2 linked regions of the Elephas maximus indicus genome follow. The protein of the gene in region 1 purifies or fractionates together with the protein of each later gene. This does not show direct contact. Links are inferred from orthologs where the notes say so. Each region holds a gene or a part of one and is shown on either strand. Other genes may lie near its edges. The genes, in order: LNPEP and CANX.

Evidence for each region.
Region 2: the proteins of LNPEP (region 1) and CANX purify together in Homo sapiens (affinity purification with mass spectrometry; 3 studies listed by BioGRID and IntAct, with this or other methods). This does not show direct contact. The link is inferred for Elephas maximus indicus from reciprocal best matches to the Homo sapiens genes LNPEP and CANX.

Annotation. Positions count from the first base shown.
Region 1 is NC_064820.1:104,518,490-104,534,044, forward strand, and holds the start of LNPEP (leucyl-cystinyl aminopeptidase), read left to right. Parts: upstream 1-7,893; 5' UTR 7,894-8,057; coding exon 8,058-8,076; intron 8,077-15,555. UniProt on the Homo sapiens protein: Release of an N-terminal amino acid, cleaves before cysteine, leucine as well as other amino acids. Degrades peptide hormones such as oxytocin, vasopressin and angiotensin III, and plays a role in maintaining homeostasis during pregnancy.
Region 2 is NC_064820.1:201,840,353-201,856,218, forward strand, and holds the start of CANX (calnexin), read left to right. Parts: upstream 1-8,094; 5' UTR 8,095-8,271; intron 8,272-15,866. UniProt on the Homo sapiens protein: Calcium-binding protein that interacts with newly synthesized monoglucosylated glycoproteins in the endoplasmic reticulum. It may act in assisting protein assembly and/or in the retention within the ER of unassembled protein subunits.

The sequences.
Region 1 (15,555 bases):
AAAGAAGATGGAAGGAATACACAGAGTCACCATATCAAAAAGAATTGGTTGACCTTCGACCTTTTCAGGAGGTAACATATTATCAGGATCTGATGGTGCTGAAGGAAGAAGTCCAAGCTGCGCTGAAGGCATTGGCAAAAAAGGCTCCGGGAATTGACAGAACACTAATTGAGATGTTTCAACAAACATGCAGTGTTGGAAGTGCTTCCTTGTCTATGCCAAGAAATTTGGCCATCCAATTGGAAAAGATCCATATTTACCTATACATATGATCCAACCAAATGCAGAACTTATTGAACAATATCATTAATATCACATGCAAGCAAAATTTTGCTGAAGAGCATTCAAAAACGGCTGCAGCAGTATATCGACAGGGAAATTCCAGAAATTCAGGCTGGTTTCAGAAGAGGATGTGGAACCAGGGATATCATTGCTGATGTCAGATGGACCCTGGCTGAAAGCAGAGAATACCAGAAGGATGTTTACCTGTGTTTTATTGACTATGCAAAAGCATTCGGCTGTGGGGATCATAACAAATTACGGATAACATTGCGGAGAATGGGAATCTAGAACACTTAATTGTGCTCATGAGGAACCTGTACATGGATCAAGAGGCAGTCATTTGAACAGAACAAGAGAATACTGCACAGTGTAAAGTCAGCAAACGTGTGCATCAGGGTTATATCCTTTCACCATACCTATTCAATCTGAATGCTGAGCAAATAATCGGAGAAACTGGACTATATGAAGAAGAACGGGGCACCAGGATTGGAGGAAGACTCATTCACAACCTTCATTATGCAGATGACACAACCTTGCTTGCTGAAAGTGAAGAGGGCTTGACGCACTTACTAATGAAAATCGAAGAACACTGCCTTCAGTATGGATTGCACCTCAACACAAAGAAAACAAAAATCCTCACAGCTCGAACAATAAGCAGCATCATGATAAACCTAGAAAAGATTGAGGTTGTAAAGGATTTCATTCTACTTGGATCCACAATTAACACCCATGGAAGCAGCAGTCAAGAAATCAAAAGACGCATTGTATTGGGCAAATAGGCTGCAAAACACCTCTTTGAAGTGTTGAAATGCAAAGATGTCATCCTGAGGACTAAAGTACACCAGACCCAAGCCATGGTGTTTTAAATTGCCTCATATGCATGCAAAGGCTGGACAATGAATAAGGAAGATGGAAGAAGAATTGATGCCTTTGAATTGTGGCATTGGTGAAGAATATTGAATATACCATGAACTACCAAAAGAATGAACAAGTCTGTCTTGGAGGAAGTACAGCCAGAATGCTCCTCAGAAGCAAGGAAGAAAGGTTGGCGAGACTATGTCTCACATACTTTGGACATATTATCAGGAGGGATCAGTCCCTGGAGAAGGACATCATGGTTGGTAAAATAGAGGATCGATGAAAAAAGGGGAAGACCTTCAAAGAGTCAGATTGACACAGTGGCTGCAACAGTGGGCTCAAGCATAGTAACAGTTGTGAGGATGGTGCAAGACTGGGCAGTGTTTTGTTCTGTTGTGCATACGGTCGTTGTGAGTCAGAACCAACTTGACGACACCTAACAACAACAACAATTCACATATCGTGTAATTCACCCATTTAAAGTGTACAGTTGAATGGTTTTTAGTATATTCACAGAGTTGTGCAACCATTACCAAAATCGATTTTAGGAAGGTTTCATCACCTCAACAATAAACCCCATACCCATTAGTGATCACTCCCCTTTCTCCCTCTAACCCTCTACCTCAGCCCTAAAACCAAACCAAACCAAAACAAAACAAAACCTGTTGTCCTGTGGATTCCAACCCATATTGACTGTAAAGGACAGAATAGAACTGCCCCATAGGGTATCAAAGGGGCAGCTGGTGGATTTGAACTGCTTGACCTTTTGGTTAACAGCCTTATCACTTAACCACTGCGCCACAAGGGCTCCACCCTAGCCTGAGGCAACAATTAATGTACTTTCAGTTTCTCTAGGCTTGCCTGGTGACACAGTGGCTAAAAGCTAAACAAAAGGTCAGCAGTTGGAATCCACCAGCCTCCACAGCAATGGGTTTAGTCTTGCCTATTCTGGACATTTCAATGTCTAGCAGACATGCCTACCTGTGACACATGGAATCATACAATATGTGTTCTTTTGTGACTGGCTTCTATGATTACCATGATGTTTTCAAGGTTCACCATGTTGTAGCATCCATCAATATCTCATTCCTTTTTGTTGCCAAATAATATTCCATTATATGTACGTATCACCTTACATTTATCCATTCGTCAGTTGATGGACATTTGGATTGTTTCCACTTTTTTTGGCTCTTATGAATGATGCTGCTATAAATACTTATGTACAAATTTTATTCTGGGTATACGTTTCCATTTCTTTTGGATATATACCTAGGAGGGGAATTGCTGGATCACACGGTAACGCTAAGCAGCGCTGGTGACACAGTGGTTAAGTGCTTGGCTGCTAACCTAAAGGTCGGTGGCTGGAACCCACCAGCTGCTCCAAGAGAGAAAGATGTGGCAGTCTGCTTCCGTAAAGATTTACTCTGTCCTGTAGGCTTGCTATGATTCTGAGTTGGGTCATCAACGGCTATGGGTTGGGTTGGGTACAGTAACTGTATATTTAACCTTTTCAGGAACTGCCAGACTGTTTTCCAAAGCTGCTGTACCATTTTACATTCCTACCAGCAGTGTATGTGGGTTCTAATTTCTCCACATCTGACATTTATTTTGTTTCCCAGTGTATGTGTAAAAGTATCGCATTGTGGTTTTGATTTGCATTTCCCTGATGGCTAATGATGTTGAGCGTTTTTCACGTGTTTTTTGGCTATTTGTATATCTTTGGAGAAATGTCTATTCAGATCCTTTGCCCACTTTTTAATTGGGTTGTTCGTCTCTTTATTATTGAGTAGTATGAGTTCTTTATATACTCTAGTTATAAGTCCCTTATCAGATGTGTGATACATATTTTCTCCCATTCTATGTTTTGCCCTTTCACTTTCTTGACCGTATCCTTTGAAACAAAATTTTTCTTGATACTTATTTTTAACTTTATTTTATTAGAAAAACGCCCAAGACTAAAGTTTGCTTTTTTTTTTTTTCAATTTTAGTAGTTACTTTTGGATCAAAATTCAAGATTTAACGATATACAGTTTCTTGGGTTAGAATCCTAGCTATATTAATCAATTATTTGAAAATTATATTCAATTTAGTGGGCTCTAGCTTTGTTTTTGCTGTACGAGGTATTTTTTTTAATTATCATTTAAATTATCATTAGTGGTGATGGTTGCACAACATGATGAATGTAATTAATGTCACTGAGTTGTACATGTAAAAAACATGGAAATGAAAAAAATTGAAATGGTAAATGTTTAGTTATATATCTTTTTACCACAACAAAAATAATACATGTGTTTATAATTTTTCATGGATATTTAGATTACCTACCTAACATTTTGGTTGTTAAGTCCCCTTTTGCCTTCCGAATAAGAAAAATGACTTTAAGTACTCTTCTGCCCCCACCTGAAACAAGGGAGGTGAGCCTAACCTCAGCATTTGGAAACTCTGCTTTGTCTAAGAAGTAAATCACTTTTATTTCCAGTGGTTGGTTTAGAAATGTATGGAATACAGTTTTGGCAAATGAGATTTAAGAAGAATCGTAATGGGGGATTTCTGAGAAAAGTTCCCTTGCTCTTCAGAAAGACACCGAAGAGTAGCTTCTGTCTTCCTCCCCTGTTGCAGCCATCTTTGGTGTTTTGGAGAAGTGTTCACACTGAGCATCACTGCAGAGAGCGTGAAAAGTTGGGCTCTTGATGAGATTGTGGAGCTGCGACTGGAGATTGCCTTATCTCTGGATTTGCTATTGTGTGACATAATACACATATATTGTTTAAACTAGTTTGATTTAGGGTTTTGGTTTTGTAATACAAAGCATCTGAACTAAAACCAAACCAAATCAATCCAGCGGCCGTCGAGTCAATTCCAATTCATAGTGACCCTATAGTACAGAGTAGAACTGCCCCATAGAGTTTCCACAGAGCAGCCGGTGGATTCAAACTGCTGACCTTTCAGTTAGCAGCCATAGCATTTAACCACCACACCACCAGGGTTTCCTTCCTGATAATAACCTATTCACTTTACTTGCCTGAGCTTTTTGCTTATTCCTAGGCTCTGTAAGAATGTTGGATACTTATTTTGTTTTCCTTAGCGCTCTAAATAGTTCTTAATTTGGTATAACTTTAAATATTATTAATTTACGCAAAGCGTGTGCACTCAGAACAGGTTGCTGAGGCAATGAGATTATTGACTCCTTTGGTGTTTGCAGTGGCTAAGTAAGGTCTGGGGTATCTGGAAACATCACAGTGGTCACCCTGGGCCTGGTTGAAGCATTCTCCATTTACTCATGAGTGCTGAACAAATATTATCATTTTCAAAAGTATGCATGGAATTAATGTATTTTATTGCTTATTTCAGAATAGTTAGAAGATGTAATAATGCTAAACCAAAGTTGATATGGAATGGAATAGTAGCCTGAAGTTAGCTGTATTTCTCTTTACCCCATATCTCTTTCATGAATTATTGTCATTGGCCCTAATTTCGCTGTGGGAATAAGGAACAACAGCAAACTCCAGAGCACTGGCTTAGAATACAGATGACCTGAATTCCATACCTGCTGCTGGGCCGTGAGTAAATCTCCTAACTTCTCTAGACTTCAGTTCCCTCATCTCTTAAATATGAGGTTTGGATTAGCTGATCTGTGACAAACCAAGTGCCTTATTTTGATGGAAAGGTTCCTACATTCATTGATTAGCAAGTTTGCTCGTTCTTCATAAATGAATGCTGTTTGTTATCCAGGGTGCTCATAAGTTTCCTTTCATACTATTTATTATATATTACAATTAGCCTTCCAAAATTTTGGTTTTCAAATTTTAAACAGTAGACTGATTCTGAAAATAGTAGATGGGTATAGTAGATAATTCACACTATCTCCTCTGGTAATTAGTAGTAACGTCATAATAATTTAAAGTGTTAGATGCTTCAACTAAAGAGGAAATTCTGTGTGGGAGGATAGGAGGAGATTAAGATAGAAACATAATGTGTTTTAGCAGCAAATTTGTGAAATCATGTTCCCTCAAAAAGGCTTTATGAAGTCAAATGTAAAATGGTATCAAAAAACAAACAAATGAAAGGAATGAAATTCATTTTTGTTCTTTTGAGGGTAGCTAGGATTCTGAATGACTTCGGTTTTTATTCTTTTTATCTCTAATACAAAACCGCAAGTCTTTAGATAGCCCTTAATATGTGGGTATGTGCTCAGGCACACAGGTGTAGGAATGGCAGAGGAATGAGGACAAGGTTGACAAAGAAAGGATAAAGAAATTATTTGTCTCTTTGTCAAAGAAATCTCAAAAAGACATGATTTACTTACTTGCTAGTGCAAAAATATTTATCACAAGTCTCTGCAGAGTTGAGGCATGTAAGACAAAACAAGACAACGTGCTTCACACTTAAAAGCATGACAGACTGTAGCTTACAGGTGAGGTGAGTCAACAAGCTGTGGAGTTTTAAATATCTCTGATACTAAGCGATTTGGCTGCAAAAATAACCCCAAAGGAAGATGACCTAAAATGTAAAGAGCCTCTTATCTAAGCAATAGAATCTGTTGGGTCATTTTAACAAAACCCAGATCTGCATATACTATATCATATAGGAACACAGATGCCCCAGCCCTGGTGGTTCACTTTCTGTTTTTCGCTCTGAAGTGCCCTGCAGGGAGCCAGCCTAAAGGGCTCTTACTATCTTTAATGCAGTGGGGAGAGAGCAGTTTTGAGGTATCATACCACGCAGACACTTTCTCTGTACTAATCACAAACACATCATTCAACACTGAGACTTTCTCGGCATTGGAAGTGAACTTGAACTCTAAATACCACTGTACCCATTCACTTATTCATTCAACACTTATTTATTGCATGCTTATCTAGGTACTGGGGTACAGCCCTAAAAAAGGTAATGACTCTGCTCTCATAGAACTTGCATTCCTGAGGGGGAGATAAATAATAATTTAACAAATAAAAAACATTGTTTGACAGCCATGGGTGCTATGAAGAAAATAAAGCAGGGCAAATCTATATAGAGTGGACTGTGTTTGTGGTTATTTTAGATTGCATGGTCAGGGAAGGGCTCTGTGTAGAGGTGACATTTGAGCTTGAGCTGAGACGTAAATAGCAAGACGGAACTAGCAGGCCAAGTAGCAGGCAGAAGGCACAGTTCACGCACGAGGCACATGCAAGAGGAGTGGTTAACGATGCTGGAAGGAACTTGGCGATTTTCAGAAAAGGCATGAGGCACAAAGGCCTGTAATAAGAGCACGGGGAGCAAGAGTAGGAGATGCAGTTCCAGAGTTATGCAAAGAGTTCAGATTTTATTCCATGCGTAAGCGGAGGTTTTGGAGAGGGGGTAGTACATTTAAAAATACAATATTGCAAAAACGCTGCGCACTACAAAAACAACCCGCTATGTACCACAATTTTATTTCTTTGAAATCTAATTTCTAACTCCTGTGCGGGTCAAACGACGCCCAGGTCGTGCCTGTTTGCCCAGGCCGTGCGCACCCTGCTGTCTTGTTCGCATCCAACGCCCTCCTGTTGACAGCCTCGGAGGAGCGTGTGACAGTAGGCAGGCGCAGACCGGCGCAGCGGAGACAAGTCGCTGCAAGGGCCGGGGATATGGGAGGAGGGAGGGGAAGAAGGCGGCGGCCTCCGCCTCGAGGGTAGCAGCGAAGCACAGACGGAGCAAGGGACGAGGAAGCCGCCCAGCTGAGCCTGCCCCGGGGCAACGCGGCCCCTAACGGTTCTGTCTCAGAGGCTTGCCGGGGCTTCCTTGATTTGAAACTGGAAACAATGGTGGCTCAGGGCTGGAAGCCATGGCGCGAGTGCCGGGGGCCTCGGGCGACTACAGGAGTGTCGGCTCCCCGGGCCTAGCGCCCCGCGGCTGGCCCCAGCGTCCGCACTCCCCGGGAGCCGCAGGTGTTGATTTAAGGTCCCCTGGCCGACCCATATCCTGCGGCACGCGCGGCCCCAGGCCGGTCGATCCGCCCCGTGTTTTGTGATCCGACAGCATCGGGAGGCCACGCCCCGAGCCTCCAGCGGAGTACGGCAACCCGGGCGCACCCGGGCCGATGGGGCTTCCCCCCACTTCAGTCCCCTGAGGACCGGCCCTTTGGGGTCGCTCTGCCGCAGGCGGGCAGCCCTTCCGAGACTCGTGGCGCCTGCTCTTTCGGGCCTTGGAGAACTGAGTTCTCCGGGGCCAATCTCCCCAAGGAAACAGAAGCTTAGCCGTCTAGAGAGCGATTCCCGCCCGCTGACTCCCGCTGTCTCTTCTTATCTCGGCTTCAAGGCACCCCCTCAGCGTGACCGCTCCTCATGACGCCTTCCGAATTAGCCACTCCCTCACTCTCCAGCCCACCACCCTGATTTAATTTCACTCTCCAGCCCACCACCCTGATTTAATGTTCTGCGGGGGGGTTTACTCCAGTCTAACTAGTCACCTGGGCTTGTTTATTGTCTCTCTCTGGAACGTACGCTCCACGGGGCAGGGACCATGTTTTTCCGGCGCAATGCTGGATTCCCGGCACATTGGACCGGGCCAGACGCAGTAGGACCTGACATTTGTTGAGCGACTCAACACACTTCTTGTTAGTGGAGAGAGCAGAGTCGCTGGTCCTTCTGGCAGGGGCGGGTCTAGTCTCGGCCCTGCCCCGGCCCCGCCCCCGCCCCAGCTCTAACCTTCTCCTCCCCCGCCTTTCCCCGAAGTCGGCCCCAGCGTGAGCCGCGCTTTTGCCTCAAGCCTCACTGTCTTTTTCTGCAGCCGCCGCGAAAACCCGGAGTGGAGGTTTCGTGGAGCGGCGCTGCCCCTCGCGGCACCTCCCCGGCAGCCCTCGGCGGCCGCGCTGGGCATGCTCAGTCGGCAGGGCCGCCTCAGCTCGCAGAGTAGGAAGCTTGGGCGCTCCAGGTGCAAGGAGCCGCGGTGGGGGGAAAATGGAGCCCTTTACCAATGGTGAGTGAGCGGCCCGAGGCGCCAGGGCGGGGGCTCGCTCTGGCCCAGAGGGTCGTGGGTAACCGGGATACGCGGGGTCGGGCTGCAGTCGCCCCCACCACCAATTTCGCGCGAGGGTTGGGGGCGGCGGAGGGGGACTGTGGGAGGTGCCTGGAGACTCGGCGGTCGGGCAGTGGTCGCACATGGCCGGGGGCTATCTTTGAAGGTCAGCTCCTCCGCCGGCCGGGAGTGGGGGGGGCGCTCGGGTGCGGCCGGGTGGGCTGGCGGACGAACGGCAAAGTTTGGGGTGCTGTGCGCAGAGGAGGGGACAGCGGGAAAGTTGGCAGCCGGTTTTGCCCTCGGCGAGGGCGGTGTCGATCCTGGCTCTTGGGCAGCAAGGGTTAAGCCGCGGCCCCTGCCAAAGCCAACTTCCCTAGTGCGCCGGGAGCTGTCTCCCTGTCCTTCAGCGAGTGGCCGGCGTGACTTCTCCTAATAGGGCGGGGTGGGGATGAGAGGCTTAGTAGATTAATTTAGTGAAAGGAAGGGAAACTTGCGGAAAGGCTTGCTCACCCGTGTCCCATGCCGAGGAGGTGCCAGTCCGCACTGCCATCCTCCTGTCGCCGAGGCTCTCCGCAGGGCGTTCAAGCTTCTTTTCACCGGCTCCCGATGATATCAGTTTCAGTCGAGGACTAATTAAATATCAAGTGTCCGTCACGGTGATACCACGATATTGTTTGAGGCGAGAGTTTACGTAGGTGCCTGCGGGATGCCCTGCAAACAGCTACAGCCCTTTACTGGTGGCGAGAATAAAAACGAGGGCTTTTGTTTGGACTGGAAGTGCTGGAGTCACAAGATAGGGGGGTGAGATATGTAACCATTTCGCGGAGTTGAGTAAATGAATTTCCTTTTAGGATAGAAAGTAGAAAAACTGCCAGCAAGGGAGAATTCACTTGAAAATTTGGAAATTCACCTTATTATTGACAGGTGTTTTCCTGCAGTTGGTCGGTTACTTCAGATAGTTGGATTATAGCGTTAATAGAAGCCAAAGGAAACACTGGTGGCGTAGTGGTTAAGTGATACGGCTGCTAACCAAAAGGTTGGCAGTTCGACTCCACCCGGCGCTCTTTGGAAACTGTGGGGCAGTTCTACTCTGTCCTGTAGGGTCGCTATGAGTCGAAATCGACCCGACGGCATTGGGGTAGAAGCCGAAGTTTTGCTTCCGTTTGGGTGGGCCAGTTCCTACCTGAGAGACAAATATTTTCAGCTATATCCCAAACTCCAGCTTGCATTGAATTTTGTGCTTCCTTCTTGAGGTCAATTGAGTATGCAAACTATTCATTATATTCTCCCTGTCCCTAATTCAGAATGCTTTATTCTGCTTCCATTTTTCTGTCTGTACTGTTTAATTAGACTTAATGAGGATAACTTTAATTTTGAATTCTCTTGCTCATTCAGATTCTGTTTTTAATTACTCAAGTTCTAAGGATAGTCTGGTACAGTTACTCAGAGAATTAAGGACGATTTCAGCGGAAAGGAACCTTAGGGACTTTAGTGTAAAATATGCTTAATGCAAGTAGTTAAGTCTTTGAAATGAATAGTCCAGAGCTTTTTCTTCTATAGGTTTATTCTTTCTTTGAGGTAGAATGCTTGGAGCCTCTGTATCTGTAGGATTTTCAGTGTGAGATTTCATGTAAGTAAAAGGCTGAGTCAAGATTAGGGCTATTTGATTTGGTGAACCTGCCCCTGTAGCATTGAAATACATTCTCAAGTCTTAAATTTCTCATCCCATAGAATATGCTTCTTTAGATGTTAACATTTTCAAAATTTTTACATTTGGGACAGAAACGCAGGTGGCATAGTGGTTAAGTGCTGTGGCTGCTAACCAAAAGATCAGCAGTTCGAATCTACCAGGCGTTCCTTGGAAACTCTTTGGGGCAGTTCTGCTCTGTCCTAGGGTGGTGGAAAAATTCCAGAGAGAACAAAAAAGAAGCAATGCTTCAACTTCCATATAGGAAATTGGATTTCTGATCCTTTCTTACATGTCTTTCAGATTTTCAGTCCATGCTGGAGACACTTTGGCAGTGTATCATCTTAGTTAATGTACTAATCACTACTTGGTGTCTTATCTAGAGTCCTTTAACAAGAAGAATAGAAACTACAACATCTAAAGTCAGTAAGAAATTAGATGTTAGTGATCTGAGGTACTTTTTAGGTTTAAGGTGGACTGAGTATTTCATAACCTTTGAAGTCATAGCTATAGAATTTTCTAAGGTCTTCAGACATGATATGGTGTAGTGGAAAGTATGTTTATCTTGTACATAATCCTTTTGAATACAGAGGATATGTACATGTAATTCTTTTATAGGTCTGGGTGTTCTGGTGCAGAGTATTTCATTATTCATACAATTTATAATTACAGGATTTTTCAGGCTTGGTATTGGCTTAGGTTATACATTCATTATCTTATAATAAAACCTTCACCACATACTTAGACTTTCTCATATATTTCTTTAAGAGATATGTTGGAGCTTAATGAAGAAAGTTTCCGTAATTCAGGAGCACGTATCTTTCAGTTAAAATCTAGTCAGTGGCTTTACCCTCTGGCCTGCACATTCGTAAAGGAGGCAGATTTAGTTTTTTTCTTGTCATTCCTGCCTTCAACATTCACCTGTTCCAGTAGGACTTTCTGCACTTTTCCTGTGTTCTGTCAAAACTTGCTCCTGGTGTGGCCCATTTTTCACAGGCCCTTCTCTGTCTGCTGATAGTGAGTTTATTTGATGAACACCTGTCCAAGGTAACTACTGCTGCAACCCATTTAAAATGCACATCTCCAGAAAGGGCTAAAAAGAAGGACATTATGCCAGGAATTTGGCTCGGGGGATATTTTTGGCCTTGCCCTTGGGAGGGATTGCTGACTGCTGTTCTGAAGATGTGACATCCTGTCTTGTTTTGGATCTTTGGTGCCTTTTTTTTTAATGGGGAGAGAAGTATGCTGACCAGTGCTCATGAGAGGTTTGGCAGTGATGTGTATCCTCGTAAGCAGGTGGAGATGAAACTATTAAGTAGTCATTTTCATATTATAAAAGATTTGATGGCAACGCCCTGGGTCTTTCGATAAAGGTACTGGATTAGGGCAAGTAATTTGATGTCTAACTTTGTTCTTATTTGCATGCAGGGCTGGGATATTTCAGAATAATTTAGGTTCATGTTAAGGAATACGGATGCCAGGGCTCACCCGCAGAATCTAATTTAGTAGAGCTGAGGTTGGGCCTGGGAATCCGCAGTACATGTTGAGGATGCTACGAGTATTCACCAGAAAGGAGCTTTTGGGAAGTTGATCAGGTAAGCAAATTCAGGATTTGGGAAAAAAGCGATAGAAAAGGACTTCTTTTTCTGCTAGTATGTATTTTTTCCCTATACTTTTTAGCTGTCTAATCCAGAGGTTAGAAAAACATTGGTATTTTGAAGTCCTAGAACTAAAAACATAATTTAAACAGTTTGTCATTTTTTCAAATGAGCACAGCCCCCAGGAATCATGTTAGTATCATAGCCCGATGCATACTGTAACAAGAGGGACGTCCCAGTCTCACAGAATTATTTTTGTTTTCAGATTGGTATGCAGTTAAAAGCATTTCCCAACTTCCAAAATGGAAGTCTGGACAAGAATTTAGATATTCATGGTTTGTAAGGCAGTATAAAATTCTGATTTCATCGTTTTGTCTTACAAGTAAGTTGTCATATAGGTATGCATTTCTTAAAAATTTTTAGCATCATCATCTGTCAAAAATGTGACCTTAACACATTTTTGTTTATGTATTTTTTCTTATGTTATATTTTACCACGTTGAGAGAAAACCTTTAAGAAATGGAAGATCGTTGTTTCTCTGTGTGATGAAATAGAAATTCTGTTTTTATCCTTCTGTAGAGTTTTTTATTTCACCTAGGGGGAGTTAGACTATATAGGAATTGAGTGTAAGCAGCGATAAAGCCTACTGTTAACATCATTAACAGTCTAAGGTTGAGGCTGTAGGTAGAAACCAATCCAGTTTTTAACTGGAAAGTTCTTTGCTGTTATCAACTTCCAAAAAAGACTGTCTTGAGACCATTGATTATCACTTATCTGTAGATGATCCCTGAGAACTCAGCCTGAAAGATATAGAACTGGAAAGTTTGATCATAAGGAAATTATATTATATACTAAGGTTAAGCAAGGGGTGATTTCTTGCTCAATAATTTAGTCAAACACCATTTTTTGAATGACCACTTAACAGGTAGATTTCTGCCTAGCCACAGTTACAAAAAAACCACAAACCTGTCATCAGTAGTGTTAACCTAATAAGAGAAATGGATCAGAAGAACCTACTTTGGTTTTCACGCTAATATAAAAATATAGAAATGTAGAAGAAGTAAAGAAGCAGTAAAATGGTGTCTAGGACATTATTCTAATCATGAAGAAAATGTATAGAATTATTTTTATAACCTGTTCGTATAGCATCTGCAACCACTGAACCCACATCTCTACTGATTTAGTATGATCTTATTAGGAAAAAACAACGTTTTAACCCACTCTGTAAAAGCATTAAAAAAAAATTGAGATATGGAGGAGTTTGGCCAAGGTTGCTCCAGAAGTTGGGGCAGCCAGAGAAAGGCAGTCTTTTTTTTTTTTTTTTTTTAATTTAATCCCTAGATATGCAGCTTTTCTGAGAGTTCACAAGAAACCAGGAATGGAAATGGAGGGAAGTTTTGGAGCCTTTGTAGTGGTACAGCGTCTTGAATTCATAATGGTGTTTGTAGAGAAGGCTGCTTACTGCTCTGGTGTTTCTGGGCAGTAAATGTGAGTAAGAGTAGTCCGTGTCCCTGAAAGGGTGGTCAGGCTTCCTCATAAAACGTGATCCATTGTCATAATCCATTTGGGATTATTCTGGGAGAAGACGAATTCTGCTACAGTGGAATTTAAAAGGAAAATTGGTGGTGAAGATGAAAAAAAAGTGAAGATTTGGGGCTAAGGGGGGAAGCTCATAGGCACAGAATTTCAGATTATACCTTAAACCTTGCAAGTCTTTGGCTCAGAAATGAGGACCTCAGGCCTAGGTTGGGGCACAGGATACTGTTGTATTTGGTTGAAAGTTAGAGTCAGGGCTGGAGGGGGAGTTGGAAGGTTGGTCTGGTTGGACAAAAGGATTTGGAGGGTGAGGGAATGAATGAGTTAGAGTCATTGCTAGGGTTTTAATCGTACTATCTTCTTTCATCATCAGAAAATTCATAGTCATTTGTAATGTTAGGACTGTTCATTTTTCTGAATGTAGATTTCAGGAGAAAAAAACAAAAAGAAATATAGAGCCATCTGCTTTGTGCAGCCATCCTGGTAAAAGTCACTGTTCTGTATTGCTTTGTTTTGCTTTAATTTTCTATGGATGTTTTTGGCTGAACAATGAGCCAATTAAGATTTTGTTTTGTTTTTAATTCTAACCTTAGCATCTAAATAAGGAGAAAACTAGTTCATTTGCCAAATAAAGAAAACTCAGGCTTCCAAAGGAGCTTAAAAAACAATGGAGAATTAAGTTTGATTGTAGGAGACCCTTTGAAGTTCTTTTCCTTCTAGTGTGTACTGCTTGATGAAGGTCATCCTGGACATTCCTCCCACATATCTCATAAATGCAGTCACGGAAACAAAACTTGAGCCAACTGTCTAAACCTCTCTAGAACGGGGTGGTCCAAAGTCTTCTCTAGTTTTTGGTGCTGTTGGGAAGGCCAAACCATGATCTGGGTAAAGGAAGTTAAAGAAGGCTTCCTGATGTTTCTGTGATGAAAGCTTCTTAAGCTGGGGGAACAGGAGTATGGGGCAGTACAGTGAGAGAAGTGGTATCTCTGTGGTTTAGGTTTGCCCCTTACCTTCCTGGGTCACATAGCAAATTATGATCTGGGTATGTGGTAGTTTCCCAGGTGTCATTAAGGAATTTTCTGGTGGGGAAAGATGCTTCAGGCCATAGTATTTCTTACAGCTGAAGTTTTTATTTTAAAGAGTTTAAAATAATTGCAACAGTATTATACCATTCCAGGGACCTGTTTTGAGGAAAGCTGTATACAAATTAGTGGGCATGATTGAAGAGAGCTAAATATTTAAAAGATTTTTCTTTAAATTGATGTTGGTAGAAAGATTTGGAGACAGAAGTAATGTAATACTTATCTGCTATCCTTTTGTCCCGTAATTGTGAAAAGGCCCTCAATGGTTAAAGTAAGGCAGGCTGCTGTGGCCCTTGGGACCTAGTGGAGGAGCTAAGTATGCCCAGATTTATCAAGATCGCGTCTAGGAGTTTGGGCTGGTCCACCCTTGTTACACTTACTGGCTGTAGTTTCTGTACTCTTTAAACTGGAATGCTAAATGTCTCAGCCAATGGGGCCATTGACATGACATTTCAGTGTCTAGATTGGGTGGCTAGGTTAAGAAGACAACTCAGACTGATTGTAGGTGTATTGGGTATTAGTCTGTGGAAATAAGAAATGTATTGCTCTTTAAAGAGCAGCATCACTACAGGCAAACAGGCTACTGAAAGGCTTGGTAACTTTACAGGTGGAGGAGACAAACAAAAAAAACCAAATGTGTTGCCATTGAGTCGATTCTAGCTCATAGTGACACTATGAGTAGAACTGCTCCATAGGGTTTCCAAGGAGCAGCTGGTGGATTTGAACTGTCGACTTTTTGCTTAGAAGCAGAGTTCTTAACCAGTCTGCCACCAGGGCTCCAGTTAGAGGAAGCACACAAAATAATTCAGTGTATACAGGAGGATGTAGTCTAATTTGGGGATTATTAAATGATATAGTGTGTTGAGTTAGATAGAAATAAGCATGCGTTCACTAAAGCATGGCCAGCTTTGTTCAAGTGCTGTGCTTTGCAGTTGGTACGTGGTTTTATTTTATTTAATTGTTGGGAAATACTGTTGAAATAATAAAGACTTGAAGAATTCATGCGTAGATGCTTTTCTCGGCAGACAATGGAATGACAGCAACTATTGGTAGAAGAAATGTGGTTATTATCCCAGCCTTTTGGGTAATCTTTGCTATTTTTTTTTTTAAATACATTATTGATAAATAAACTGACCTTCACCAAAATAAAACTTGTTGCCTTCGAGTGAATTCATACTCATGGTGACCCTATCGGACAGAGTAGAACTGCCCCACAGGGTTTCTAAGGAGCACTGGTGGATTCGAACTGCTGGCCTTTCGATTAGCAGCCATAGCTTTTAACCACTATGCAACCAGGGTTTCCAGCTGACCCTCAGTCAGTTGTAAATTGATGACAAAGTAATTTCTGTGGAGATTTAAGATTGTCTTATACCTTGTGTTTTATCAGTCAGATAAGTAAATAAGAAAGTATTCCAGAGAATTATCAGCAAAATCATTCTTTGTTCGTATCCATCTCAGATCAAGTCTGGTAAATTTATTCACCAACTGAAGTATTTTCTAACTCATAAGCTTCCTGTATGTGATGAAGAGCTCTTAT
Region 2 (15,866 bases), about 97 Mb from region 1:
ATTAGTCTTGATATATGGTAGTGTGAATCTCCCAGCAACATTCTTTAAGATTGCTTTGACTTTCTAGGTCCTTTGTATTTCCATATACATTTTAGAATTAGAATGTCAATTTCCACAAATAAACACTCATGGTCACTGTTCAGAACCCTCTCTTCCTGTCATCAGAACATTGGGAGCCCAAATCATTCTTCAGAAGGTTGTCTGATGGGCATGGAATCAGAGCCCAGGGTTGGGGGAAGGGGAGCCAGGGGGCAATATTTTAACCAAGCCAGCAATTTCTTCTTTCTCTCTTATTTCTATTTTATTAAAGCTAATTTTAATTAAGTCATAATATTTCAGGCACATCACGGGCAACCACCAGAAATAGTATACACCACCATTCAAATCCATGGATTACCAAAAAGGAAAAGCCACAAAACCCAAAGAAGGCATAATTTGTTGCTTTGAACAGGAAAAGTTTAGAGAGATGATGGACAGTTGCCATTTAACATGTTAACTCTTTTCACAAGCAGATCCTGCTTTTAAGGAAATTAAATGGAAACGGAATTTAAAGATCCACAGTCTAAAAGCAATGGTTCTTGGCCTGTTTGAGGGACTCTATCTCAATGCCCTTATAGAAAACACTAAATTTGGTGCCAGTGAAGGAGGGAGTGCCAGGTCCAAACAGGTCTCTGAGTTTAAGGACATTTGGCAGAGAGGGAGAAGAAGACCTAAAAATGAATTTTCATTTCCCTACACCCAAGCAATTTTTTCTTCAGTGACTGGTGGATGTGAATGTCAGCGGGTCCCCTCCTCCTGGGAATCAAGAGAAATACTCCCAAAATCAAGGAAGCAAATTCTTGCTTCCCCCCATGGTCATTTCAATCTAGCTTCTGAGATAATCTGCCCTTGCATTTGTATACGCAGATTCCAAAGAACATCCATTGAACTAACTTTTCCTGAAACGAGACAGTCCCTGTGGTAACACACACACACACACACACAAAAAAGGTAAAAATTCTGCACTTGTATAAAACTTGATTGAGATAGTAATTCGAACAGTATAGAACACAAGTCCACAGTTACCAAAAAAACACACCCACTTCACTTGGCACCTTCATTTTCTGCAGCCTGTTATTCTCTCCCTTTCTTATGAGGTGCCTTTTAAGGAACAGCACGTTTAGCAGGTAAGGATGCCCATCCCTCTGTGGTTTATCCTTCACTAGAGCTTTGTCTTCTTTAGCCTCTCCTTGGGTCTTTCTTGTGGGCTTGGTGGTGACAGGAGTGGATGAGGTACAGAACTCAGGGGTGGCAGTGGTGGTGGGCTTCCATGGTCTACGGATTGCTATTCCTCCCAAGCTAATGTTCCTTAAAATTAGTTCTATGGCTATTCTTTGGAATTTGCAAATACTCCAGGAAAAAAAAAAAATTTTTTTTTTAATTTTTAAAATTCTTACTGTGCTTTAGGTGAAAGTTTACAGCGCAAAGTAGCTTCTCATTAAAAAATTTATACACAAACCGTTTTGTGACATTGGTTGCAATCCCCACAATGTGTCAGCACTCTCCGCCTTTCCGCCTCAATAAATTTTGTTTTAATTTCAGAAAAAAAAAAAAAAAGTTCTACCTACTCTGGGTAACCACATTATAACCAGGAACAGGACTTGAGGGCCTGCATCTGGGTTTGACTTGTAAGGGCTAACAAAAGAGGCAGGCAAGTCCGGCGAAGCTCTGGCAGAAAACGACTATATTCCTGGGCCTGGGTTTTGGTGTGCTTCATGCCATGTCAATTCAGCCCCCTCTGGCAGACATGCTGCTGCTTTTCGCAGTTTTCCCTACCCTGATAGAACCGCCACGAACCTGAGCTGAAGAGGGGCGTAGGAGCAGCCGCAAGTAATGACACCACAGACGCCCACTATTGTTACTTGAAGTTCCATAGTTTTTCATGGATAGCTGTTTCTCAATTTGGTGTGTGCCTTTGATAGATTTGCAGAGTCAATGATAGATTTTTAGATGTGCAGGATTAAAAAAATATATACTTCACAAGCAATATTTCTTAGGAAGCAACAGGAAAATGTATCTACCAATTGTAAACCAAAAAAGAGTAAGGTGTCAGGTTATGAAGAGAAGATTAAAACATTTATCTACATAAAGACTTGTATGCAAATATCCATAGCAATACTATATCATAATAGCCAAAAACTAGGAACACCCCAAGTGTCTATCACCTGGTGAATGGATAAATTGTGATATAGCCATACGATAGAACACTACCCAACAATTAAAAGGAATGAACCACTGATAAATGCCACAACAAGGATGAGAATCTCAGAACATTAGGCTGAGCAAAAGAAGCCAGACACAAAACTTTATTGTGATTCCTTTTTCAAGAAACTCTAGAAAAGACAAATCTTTAGTGACAGAAAGCAGATCAGTCTTTTCCTAGGGCCACTGGTGGGGACCGACTGGGAACGCGTATAGGGGGGCCTTTTGGGGTAACAGAAATGTTCTCTATCTTCATTATGGTAGTGGTTACATGGTGCATATGTTTATCAAAATCATGAAACAGCACAATAAGATTGATTTCTAAAAGTGGGGGACTGATGAAACAGGAGATCCAAATGCAGGAGGTACAAGGACTTCATTGACAGTTGCTGAGAAGCAGTCCAAGAAAGCAACCCATCCCAACTAGAACAGGAGGACAGGGCTGTGAGAGACCTCAGCTTGAGGACCAAATGGGTGGACTGCTTCCTGTGTTTCAATGTTTTGGGAGGAGTTTCAACAAGTGAAGGAGAGTTTGGGTTATATTAGCCCTGAGTAAACAGAAAACTCCAATTGTTTCTGGAGCTGAAGAGCCAGGATTTAAGAAGGCTTGGCATGCATGTTAACCCTGAGCCAAGGTAGTGAGTGGATGCTGGTGATGAAGGGAGAGAGGAGGCTGAAGCACACGTCCAGGGTCCACGTGGCTCTGAAAGACAAGAAAGAGCAACCTCCATTCTCACTCTCAATTCCAGATAATGTAAGATGAGATAGTAATTTTTTTTTTCTGTCCTTGGATATTCTGATGTCTCTATATACTTTTCTTGAGTTAGTTTAAATATTTTTGTTCCTTATAATCACACACAAAAAATTAAAAAGCTCTTAATAAAATTGGAAAAACATAAGTGTAGTAGATAGCTAATATCCTAATAAAGATTTCTTAAAAACCAATATGAAAAAGACAAACTCTGTAATAGAAAAATGGACAAATTACGTGAATAGACCATTCGTGAAGAAATATGGCTAATGAACATTAAAAACAATCTCATTGTAAGACAAGAAACTTCAATTAAAATAACAATATACTGCACTTTGCCTATTAAGTTGACAGTGCCAGATGAGTGTGGGTACAGAGAAGTGGTGGTTACTACCCAACCAGTAAGAAAAAGCTGGATGGAAATGTGGGGTGCTGCATGCCCCACTTTCTCCTTCAAGCAAAGGAAGGTGTGAATGAGCAAGGACAAGTGTGGCTTTTCTTTGGGGCCTTGTGAATAGGGGCAAGCTAAGCTATAAGAGGAAGCTGGATATGAAGGACAAATTGCTTGTGTCCAGTACAACTTCATTTATAGTGGTCTTAAATATATATTGTCTTTTTTGAGAAACTAAGCGTAAAAGAAATTTGTTTAATGTTCTTTATTGAAAAAATAATATTTGCATTTGTTATAAAAAAAAGTCTCCTTCCCACTTTGAGTCCCACTTCCCTCTTTATACCAGTCTTTCAGGAGTTTCTTGTGTATCCAGTAAGCTTGTTTGTTCAAGATTGTATTTATAACCTCTCCAACATGGAACGATGCATACATTACTCAGTACTTTTTCACATAACACTAAATCTTGGCAATACTACTACTCAACATGCTTTTTTTTTTTTTTTTTTTTATTAAGCTTCAAGTGAACATTTACCATTCCAATCAGTCTGTCACATGTAGGTTTACATACATCTTACTCCCTTCTCCCACTTGCTCTCCCCCTATTGAGTCAGCCCTTACAGTCTCTCGTTTCGTGCCAATTTTACCTTCTTCCCTCTCTCTCTATCTTCCCATCCCCCCTCCAGTCAAGAGTTGCCAACACACTCTCCTGTGTCCACCTGATTTAATTAGCTCACTCTTCATCAGTATCTCTCTCCCCCCCACTAACCAGTCCTTTTCATGCCTGATGATTTGTCTTCGGGGATGGTTCCTGTCCTGTGCCATCAGAAGTTCTGGGGAGCATTGTCTCTGGGATTCCTCTAGTCGCAATCATACCATTAGGTGTGGTCTTTTAATGAGAATTTGGGGTCTGCATCCCATTGGTCTCCTGCTCCCTCAGGAGTTGTCTGTTGTGTTCCCTGACAGGGCAGACATCGATTGTGGCCGGGCACCAACTAGTTCTTCTGGTCTCAGGATATTGTAGGTCTCTGGTTCAAGTGGCCCTTTCTGTCTCTTGGGTTCTTAGTTGTCGTGTGACCTTGGTGTTCTTCCTTTGCCTTTGCTCCCGGTGGGTTGAGACCAATTAATGTATTTTAGATGGCTGCTTGTTGGCATTTAGGACCCCAGGTGCCACAATTCAAAGTGGGATGCAGAGTGTTTTCGTAATAGAATTGTTTTGCCCATTGATTTAGAAGTCCTCTCAAACCAAGTTCCCCAGACCCCAGCCCCTGCTTCGCTATCCTTTGAAGCTTTCATTTTATCTCGGAAACCTCTTTACTTTTAATCCTGTCCAATTAGGCTGACCTTCCATGTTTTGAGTGTTGTCTTTCCCTTCACCCAAAGCAGTTCCCATCTACAGATTGATCAATAAAAAGCCCTCTCCCTCCCTCCCTCCCTCCCTCCCCCCTTTGTAACCACAAAAGTATGTGTTCTTTTCCGTTTTTTCTATTTCTCAAGATCTTATAATAGTGGTCTTATACAATATTTGTCCTTTTGCAACTGACTCATTTCGCTCAGCATAATGCCTTCCAGATTCCTCCATGTTATGAAGTGTTTCAGAGATTCGTCACTGTTCTTTATCGATGCGTAGTATTCCATTGTGTGAATATACCACAATTTATTTACCCATTCGTCCGTTGATGGACATCTTGTTTGCTTCCAGCTTTTTGCTATTGTAAACAGAGCTCAACATGCTTTTTAAGGGTGTAGAGCCATTCATTGTAGGGTCTGTATTTTATTTAAACAGTTCTGTATATCAGTTAGGCTATTTTTAAGATTTTTTCCAGAATTTTGATACTAAAACAATGATGCAATGAACTTCACTGGATGTCTTTACACACAAGTACAGTATGTGGCTATATTCCACACAGATATATGGATATATTCCCAGGGGTAGAACTGCTGGGCCAAAGGATATGAGTATTTTAAAATGGATATAAAGCATTTATTTTTTTCTTTTTAAATTGCGGTGAAAACATACACACCAAAACATTCGCCAATACAACTTCCACATTTACAACTCAATGACATTGATTACATTTTTCATGTTGTGCCACCATTATCACTATCTTCATCCAAAACATTCTACCATCATTAAGTAACGTAAACCCGGTGCTCCCCAAAAACTCCCCCTTTCCCCTGCTAACCAATAATAATCTTTGGTTTCTGTATATTTGCTTATTTCATATACGTGAGATCATACAGTATTTGTCCTTTTGCGGCTGACTTATTTTGCTCAGCATGATGTTTTCAGGGTTCATCCCTGTTGTGACAAGCATCAGAATTTGGTTTTTCTTTACAGCTGCATAATATTCCACTATATATATACCACATTTTGTTTATCCATTCGTTGATGGATATTTCATAAAGCATTGATTTTGAAAAACAATTTGCAGGTTATAAGGTCAGTCAGAATACATTTAGCCCAATGTCCCACACTAAGAACTCTGTTGTTTGCCACAGTTGAGTTGGCCTCCAACTCAAGGCAACCCCGTACACACAGGATTTGGCCGTTGTGATCCATAGCATTTTCATGGGCTGATTTTCAGAAGTAGATTGCCAGGCATTTCCTCCTAGTCCATATTAGTCTGGGAGCTCCATCAAAACCTGTTTAGCATCACAGCAAAACACAAGCCTCCACTGACTGATGAGTGCTGGCTGCACTTGAGGTACTTTGGCCAGGTCTCCTTCATGGAAGGCAAGAGTTCTAACACTGAACCATAACTGCCCTCTAAGAACTATATAATTATTTATTTTAATGAGATAATCTACTAATCACTCAGAGTACCTTTTGAATTATCAAGAAAATATCTCATTCTTGAAGGTTTTGTCCTTGGTCTCCTCCACTGAAGCACATTATGCTTTGGCTGAAAAATCCACATCTCCAGTCCTGTTGTTTCTTGGGCCGAGATCCATATTCCTCAGGATCAGGCAAGTTCGAGTTCCCCCTTTCTTTTGGGGCTGTATCACCTTACCTCATTTCTAGGTCAAAACATCTCAATACTGGCATTGGTTCTTCTCTTTTCCAGAGTCCACTGGATTATCCTTCGGCATCAACATTTAATGCTTTTGTTTCTATATACACTGCTATCCCCTAACTGCAGGAAGTGACTTCCTAACTGGCCTCATAGTTGCTAGTCTCTCTTTTAGATTTCCCGGTAATAATATCAAAAGAATGCTTCCCAAGACACCTAAATCATGACCCAAATTTAAAAGCTAAAATATCTATTAACTCCTTGGCTAGTCTTTCAAGGCCTGGTCCCAAACCAACTCTGGTGCTAATCTCCCATTACTCACTTTCATTAATATCCTTCTCCAGCCAGAACACTTTGCACAGTGTCCCCAAACACACATTGCCTGTTTTCCTGTCTTCGCATATGCTGTTTCCTCATCTAAAGAAGCTTTTCTCCCACTCTATACCTTTAGAAACTCTGCATATCATACCAGGTCCAGCTCCAGTCTTCCTCTTCCCTGTCCATCCTAGATGGATGCACTTTCTCCGTAATCAAATCCCATTAAATTCACTTTAGTACCACCATCTTTTCTTTTCTTTTCTTTTTAGCACTTACCTTTGCTGAAGTAGCGCCTATGCTCATATAAGTGGTTCCTCTACATTATAAACTATGTTTGGATTATGTGACATCCAGGACATTACTTTGCCCTTAACACAAAATCCTCTTTCGCAAATTTGGTGGCTGAGAGTTGAATACTAAAATTTATGCAAACACCAAGCCCTGACTTCTCTCTTCCCTTTTCAGGTGACAGGAGGGAATATAGCTGGCTTCCAGGATACGTGATACACCCGCTATTTCTAGCTCTTCCACGCTAGGATTCAGCCTTTGGGTGAGCAACAATCGGTGGAGAGACCGGAACCTCTCAAAGTCTAGAAAAACCTCCGAGCTGCTTCCATCTTCTGAGGTTCTCGGCACATTTAAAATTGAAGATGTGCTAAAAGCCGGTTACAAAAATTGTGTATTTTAAATGTTTCCATTGCAACACTCTTTTCTCTCAAGCATGTCGTCAGTGTATCGCTTGCCCTTATGTCAGAAAACATGACAAATTGAAAGTTTGATATAACCTTGGATTATACATATTATCCTGAATTGCATTTTGTGTTAGGCAATGAGCCAGCCGCAGTATCCAGGGCTCAGAGCAATGACTCTGCAGGAACCGGGGCCAGTTAGAAAGGGCTGTGTGTGCAGTCGACTTAGGCCGGGCCAAGGCGTCCGTGCCGGGTTCTGGCTGCGCACGGTCGGGGCCCTACGCTCGCTGCGTAGGGGCTGGCCCTTCCTGATGGCCGACAGGACCACCCACTCTTTCTGCCGGCTGCTCGGGTGCCCACACCACAGTGATTCGGCTTAAGCACCCGTCAGCGTGCCCACTAACACGGCCGGGTAACTGGGCGGGACAACGCCGGCCCGCCGATCCCGCCCCAGGACTCGCGCGCTTTCGGTTGCCGATAACGTCGGGGCCGGCCCCCTCACCTCCCACCCAACCAGCAGCCACTTCCTGCCTTACTTCCAGCCAGTCCCCACACTCCACGAAGAATAGCCCTAGGGGGCGTATGGGAAGAGGCATAGAGGGACGGCCACACTGACCAACCGAGTTTCGAAGCTTGCGCAGTGGGGCGGGATTTGCCTTCGTTCGCAGCCACTCAAGAACGAGGGGCGGACGCAGGGCCGGGCTTCGTGCGGTGGGGCTCGCTCGGCGGCAGCAGCGGTGGCCGAGGCCTCTTCGTTTTGCCGCACGTGACGGTCGGGCAGCCGCCGCCGCTGTCTCCACTGCAGCGTGGGGTCAGGTGTGCGGGCGGGAGGAGGCGCGGGAGCCGCCGGCGGTCCCCAAGAGGCTCTAGGTGAGAAGGGAGGTTTGTGCGCACCCCCGGGCCCGTGGGGACCCCAGGTGGCCCATGATCGCTGCGCCGCGGCCGAGGGGCCGGGCGTGGTCAGGGCCGAGGGGTTGAGCTGGGTTTCAAGGGCCCGGGTCCCGGCACATACGTTGGCCGTGAGCAGCGAGGCCTGGACGTGGGCCGCTTCATTTGGGCAGCCAGACCCAGGCCCCTCCGCGGGGGTCGGGAGGCGTGGCAGGTGCCCTAGGTCCTCTCTTGACCTTTGGGAAAGCTAAATTCTTCGTATGGCTCTGCTTCTAGGGCTTTCTTAGGCCTCTTCCTGGCTACCTGGAAAGCCGCGAGGTGGACTGGAGTAACCGGGTAAAGTCTGAAGCGGGATCGGGCCTAGTCAGTACCCTTAGCAATAAAAAATAGAGAATATTTACTATTGGCGTTACCGGTTCAGGATATTTGAAAATAAGACCTTAAAGCAAAGACTAGACGCTGGAACCCCGAAGAGTAAGTGGAAAGTACTAGAACATGCGTTGGTTGAAAAAGTTTGCAGCAGCTATTTGGGGATGGGAAGTAATCCATTCGGAGATTCACAGGACATTAAAAGCAGGAAAGGACCTGAAAACTCCGAGTGCAGCTTGTTTTTCGGTGGAGGAAACTGAGGCCCAGAACACGAAATGACCGGCCCAAGGTCATACGATTAGTCTGATGATCAGGTTGGGATTAGAGGGCTACGCAGTCTCCTTGTAGTGGTTAAATATAGGGCTCTGCTTCAAGTCCTTCCTGGACTATTTGCTAGTTACGTGAACTTGGACAGTTTATTTAGCTTTTTTTGTGTCCCAGTTCTCAAAAAATAATATAATAACTGATGGAGTTTTGGAGGAGCACTGGTGGTGCAGTGGTTAAGAGCTTGGCTGCTAACCAAAAGGTTGGCAGTTCAAACTCAGGAGCTGCTCTGTGGGAGAAAGATGTGGCAGTCTGCTTCCCTAAAGATTTGCAGTCTTGAAAACCTTATGGGGCAGTTTTACTCTGTCCTACAGGGTTGCTCTGAGTCGGAATCAACTGGAAGGCAGGGAATGGGGTCGTGTGATGGAGTTTTGAGGATTAAATTAAGATGTATATAAAATAGGACAAGAGTCTGAAAGTTGTTGGTTTACTACACTGACATCCTAGTCTTTGAGTTGGCTAAGTCCTGTTTCTTAGGATCTGAAGTCACCTTTATGGCATGGGGGGGAAGAAATTGGACCTTGTGAATTAACTGCTGGGCATGACACAAGTGAGTGTTGGTTGAGGGAAGTTAAACTGAGCTGAATATTAAAAGCTTGGGAGGGCAAAGGTGAACCACAGTTAAACTTATTTAGGGAGTGGAAGATTTTCCTTAATTTTTTAATAAGTAGATTTTAAGTGGAATCATTGTATTGATCTTTAAATAATTCTGCATCTCAGTTTTCCTACAGCCATGTTTGAGGGCCATCTTTTACATCTGGTATAGTTATATTAAGAGTAGAGGTAAAGAGCTGTGAGAGTTCTCCTTTGCACAAGATAACAAGCCAGGTAACTGGATTATGAGAAGGCAAGAGTGAGCTTTGTATTGGAGTGAATGTCACATAACAAACAGATTTTCTAAACTCCGAAAATGGGAGTCATTGTCCCTCCCCCACCCTACTATCACAATGCAGCAGTTCAACTATCACGTTTTCTTACAAGGACCACAAGGAGTAAACATTTTGACAGAAGTCATTGCTGCAGCTTTGACGATCAAACTGTTGAACCTTTAAGTTAGGGTTCACTTTGCCCTGCAAGATAGCTTGAGAGGGTGAAATGACAGTTGGTAAGCATAATTTCTGGGCCCAGCTCTGTAACTAGCTTATTTACTATCTTGGTTTACACATCTTTGAAATGGGAATGAGCTGTTTCCTCAGATACCTTACCATTACGGGGCTATTGAAAGGGACAGATGCAGATGATGAGCATAAAACCACTTTGAAGAGTTATAGAATTAGACAAACAGAAGAATTGGTGGTCATAGTAACTCTAGAAAGTAATAAAAACGCCTAAACATAGTTGTAAACTATATATAGTTTACTGTCGAACTTTGTCAGAAAAATGCTGGTTGAATACTTTGCTAGTGCAACAGATGTACTTTTAAATTAAGATTACCTCTGAGCTGTGAAAATTATTAGGAGAATTCTGTTTTTTAAAGAAATTAGAGAATCTTCAGCAGTATGTTTCAAGTATTCACATCTTAAAGCTACACAGCTTATAGGAAAACAAACCGTTGCTGTCAAGTCGATTCCAAATCATAGTGACTCTGTAGGACAGAGTTGAACTGGCCCAGTGGGTTTCCAAGGCTGTAATCTTACTGGAAGCAGACTGCCACATCTTTCTCTCATAGAGCAGCTGGTGGGTTCGAACCACCAACCTTTCGGTTAGCAGCCGAGTGCTTAACCACTGTACCACCAGTGCTCCTTCCAGAAAAGGAAAGTGCTATGGAAAAAGCAATTCTAACGTTCCCCATGAAAAAAACAAAATGCAAAAATGTAAACAAGGCAGTGTAGGTGATCTATTTTAATGGAGAAACATTTACAATAAAGACCACTTTGTATTTTATTGCCTCTTAAATGTTTATTTTTTGATAGATGCACAGGATAGTAAAATCAGAAGTTGCAAAAAGTAAGATGGTTCATCTGTGACTGGAATCATTCCTTTTAAGGTTCCTTTCCCTTCATGTCTTATTTGCCTTAAAACTCAGGGTTTCGAAACCTTTAAAACTTAATGAAACATGTTACAGGCAATATCTAGTAATGGTAAAAATCACAGCTAATATTGAGCGCTTACTGTAAGCTAAGCACTGCCACATCCATTTCTACAAACATGAAGAAACTGAGGCCTAAAGATTAGTAATTCACTGAGGGTCACAAATTATTAAAAGGCCAAGTATAGATTATAATTTTTGAGTTCCTGCTCATAAACACTACTGTATGTTTCTAACTGGGACCTTAGATTACATAATTTCTTTCAACCTTAGATTTCTCGTGTGTAAAATGGGGATGATAGTACTTAACTCCTAGGGTGGCTATCAGGATTAAATTAGACCTCCTAAGGTATCTAAAACCTACAAGACCTAAAATTTTAAAAGGATATTTTAATAGATAAATGGATAGTTTACATGAAGGGAATACTGCCTCTTTTTATCCCATACTACCTATTTTTAAAATAAGTCGGATTCAACTCGACGGCTCTGGGTTGGGTTTTACCTGTTTTTAAAATCACTTTTTTAAAAAAAAGTCTAGTAGCATTAGACTGGATTGTTTCTTCTGTTCCTCTTTCTAACTTCTCGTAGACTGAAGGAGTTAGAGTTGAAAATGTTGCAGGAACAAATTACTCAATTTCCAAACTTTTTACAAGAGACAAAAATCCCTCCAAAAAAGCCCAGGACCAGGTGGCTTCACTGGTAGATTCTACCAGATATTTAGAGGAGAATTAACACCAATCGTTCATAAATTCTTCCAAAAAATAAAAGAGGAGGGAACACTTTCCTGCTCATTCTCTTTGGTCAGTACTGTATTGCCCTAGTACCAGAACCAGAGACATCACAAGAAAAGGAAATCACAGACCCATATTTCTTAGGAAAGTAGGTGTAAAAATCCTCCATATGATACTAGCAAACTGAATCCAGGGTTATACACCATGTCCAAGTGGGATTTATCCTAGAATTCAAGGTTGATTCAACATAGGACAATCAGTATACCATCCCATGTTAATAAAGGACAGAAACCATGTGATCATCTCAATAGATACAGAAAAAACATTTGAGAAAAGGCAGAACCCTTTTTTGATTAAAATACTCAACAAGCTAGGAATAGAGGAGAACTTCCTCAACCTGATTAAGAGACAGTCCTTTCTTGGGGAAAAAAATTAGACGTACTTTTAAAGGATATATAAAAGTTTAATAGACCTGAGAATAGTTTAAGCCTCCATTTGTTTATTCTGACTATTTATTGAGGATAAAGTTTCTCTGCCTTTGAGAAGTGACAAATTTGGTATTTAGTTGTATGCCCTTTCTTAAAGTTGATCTAAATAGTTTTCTGGATTTCTGAAATTTGATATAATGTCTATCACATTTTATTATAAAGACTTCAGTTGAAAGTCTGATGTATATGTTGTTAAATGTATGTGGTAGAATGTAGACTTTTTTTAGAACGGGTGCTGAGAACAGAATTGGTAACTGAACAGAATGTTAAGGGAAAAAAAAAAAAGGCAAATAAACATGGAAGTTTCCATATCCAAAGGTTAAAATTGTATATACACTGTTGTAAGTATAGGAGGAAGAGTTAAAGAAGAAATTGTATAATGTAAACTGGACGAAAGCAAGTTTTTCTTGATATGTAAAATCATCCAGCTTTGTTGAAATACATTGGAGGAATAAGCAGGCATATTAGATCCTTTGGCCTAGTATGAGAATTTAAAATGTATTCACGTTGGTTTTTCTAATTGTGTTTCAAACAATAACATGTTTGCATATGCTTATGAAGTACCAGACTCTGATAGACTTTGAATTATTTTATCATATTTTCATGGCCAGCTTTTGAGCCAATTAGGCTATTTCCCATGTCTGTAAAATTGGGAAATCAATACTTCTAGAAGTTAAAGTAGCCTGACCAAGGCCATACAGAGGAGCAGGAGGAAGTCTGGAACCCAGATCTGTCTGGCTTGACAGGTCATTCCACGAACATGCACTATGCTGCCTCGTATGTAAGGAATTAATTTTACTGCGTCATCAGTTTTAAATTGGAAACTTCCATCTCTAGAATACAAGATAACTCCACTCTTCTAAAAGTTAAGAGTGGGTCAGAGGCTCCTGAAGATCCCTTTGGACCTTGATTTTGAGAACCAGGCCTTTTACTCTTGTCTTTGGGAAATTGGGAAGTAAACCAGAAATCATTTGTGTGTGACATAAATAGGTACGTATCTGGCTCCTACTTGGCTATGTATACATTTGTTCATGTTTGTATCTTTGATCTCAGAGGGTAGAAGTTTTCTGACCTGGGCATAGGTAGGTAATTTAATTACTAAAAACAAAACCTTTTTTAACTGGAAGGAAAGGAGACTACCTCATCAAGCTCAGATTTCTAGTCCAGCTCACATTTTTGAGTCTTCCTTTGATAGTTTTGTGCTTTGGAGGACCAGGTAAATTTAAAGCTGGTTTCCTGACGGCTTTGATCCAGTGTAAAGAAATACCTTCATTGATCCAGTAATACATATTTTTTTAACTTTTTATTTTGAAGTAATTATACACTCACAGGAAGTTGCAAAATTAGTACAGAGAAGTCCTTTCTGCATTTCCCCCATGGTGACATCTTACTTAACTATAGTGCACTGTCAACCCATGAAATCGACATGGGTACAGACCCCATTCAGATATCACCACTTTTTACATGCACGTGTGTGTGTTTAGTTCTGTGCAATTTTATCATCGCAGTAATTTGTTTTTGAAATTTTTACTTTTCAAATTTCATTGTCGTCAAATACATAAACAAAAGGTTTACCATCTTAACCATTTTTAAGTGTGTAATTCAGTGACCTTAATTATGTTCAGTGTGTTGCACTACCATCACCACTATCCATTTCCAGGAGTGTTATATTGCTCCCAAAACTCAGTACCCCTTCAGCAAAAACTCCATTCCCTCTTTCTCCCAGCCCATAGCGGCCACTAATCTACTTTGTATTTTTCTATTTTAGGGATTTCATATAAGTGGGAGCATACAATATTGGTCCTGTTGTGACTGACTTTCTTCACTCAGCATGTTTTCAGGGTTTATCCTTGTAGCATGTTTTAGAATTTCCTTTCTTTTTATGACTGAATAATATTCCATAGTGTATTCATACCACATTTTATATATGTATTCATCTGTTGATGGACACTTGGGTTATTTTCACCTTTTGGCTATTGTGGATGATACTGCACTGAACTTTGGTGTACAGGTATTTGAGTTTCTGCCTTCAGGACTCTTGGGTATATTCCTAGGAGTGACATTCTTGGGTCATATGGTAGTTCTATGTTTAACTTTTTGAGGATCTGTCAAACTTTTCGGTAGCAGCTGCACCATCAATGCACAGGGTTCTAATTTTTCCACATCTTGCTAACACTTGTTAGTCTCCGTTTTTATGATAATATCCATCCTAGTAGGTGTGATATATCTCATTGTGGTTTTGATTTGCATTTTCACGGTGACTAACAGCCTTTAGTATCTTTTCGTGTGCTTACTGGCCATTTGTATATTTTTGGAGAATGTCTATTCAAGTCCTTTGCCCAGTTTTTAAAATTGGGTTGTCTTTCTGTTAAGTTTTAGGAGTTCTTTATATATTCTGGGAGCCCTGGTGGCACACTGGTTAAGAGCTCAGCTGCTAATCAAAATGTCAGCAGTTTGAATTCACCAGCTGCTCCTTGGAAGCCCTGTGGGGCAGTTCTACTCTCTCCTATAGGGTCTCTATGAGTCAGAATTGACTTGATGGCAATGGGCTTTTTTTTTTTTTTAAATATCTTCTGGAGCTCTGGTGGTGCAGTGGTTAAGAACTGGGTTGCTAACCAAAAGATCCAGCAGTTTGAATCCATCAGGTGCTCATTGGAAACCCTATGGGATGGTTCTACCCTGTCTTATAGGGTTGCTATGAGTTGGAATGAACTTTATGGCAGTGGGTTTGGTTTTTGTTTAGGTATTCTGGATATGTGTTTTCCAGATACTTTTTCTTATCCTGTAGGTTGTTTTTTCACTGTCTTTATGAAGTCCTTTAATGCACAAAAATTTTCATTTTGATGAAGTCTGTTTTAGTCATCTAGTGCTGCTGTAACAGAAATACCACAAGTGGATGGCTTTAACAAAGAGAAGTTTATTCACTTATAGTCTAGGAGGATAAAAGTCCAAATTCAGGGTACCAGCTCCTGGGGAAGGCTTTCTTTCTTTTTTGGCTCTGGAGGAAAGCCTTTGTCATTCATCTTCCCTTGGTCGCAGGGACCCTGGGTCCAAAGGATGCACTGTTCTCCTGGCTTTTGTCTCTTGATGGTATGACTTCCTCATGTCTCTGCTTGCTTCTCTTTTTTATATCTCAAGAGATTGGTTTAGGACACAACCTAATCTTTTAGATTGAGTCCTTCCTCATTAACATATCTGCCTTTAATAACATCATAGAGGTAGGATTTACTACACATAGGAAAATCACATCAGATGACAAAATGGTAGACAATCACAATACTGGGAATCATGGCCTACCCAAGTTGACACATATTTTGGGGGGACACCATTCAATCCATGATAAAGTCCAGTTAATTAATTCTTTTGTTGCTCATGGTTTTAGCACTGTATCTAAGAACCCTTTATGAAAAATAAGGACTTAAAGTTTTATGCCTATGTTTTCTTCCAGGAGTTTTATAGTTTTAGTTCTTATATTTACTAGGTTGTTGATCCATTTGGAGTTAATTTTCATATATGATGTGAAGTATTGGTCCAATCATTCATTTGCCTGTGGAGATCGAGTTGTCCCAGGACCACTTATTGAAGAGACTTCTTTCCCCATTGAATTGTCTTGGCTCCCATGTGAAAAACCAGTTG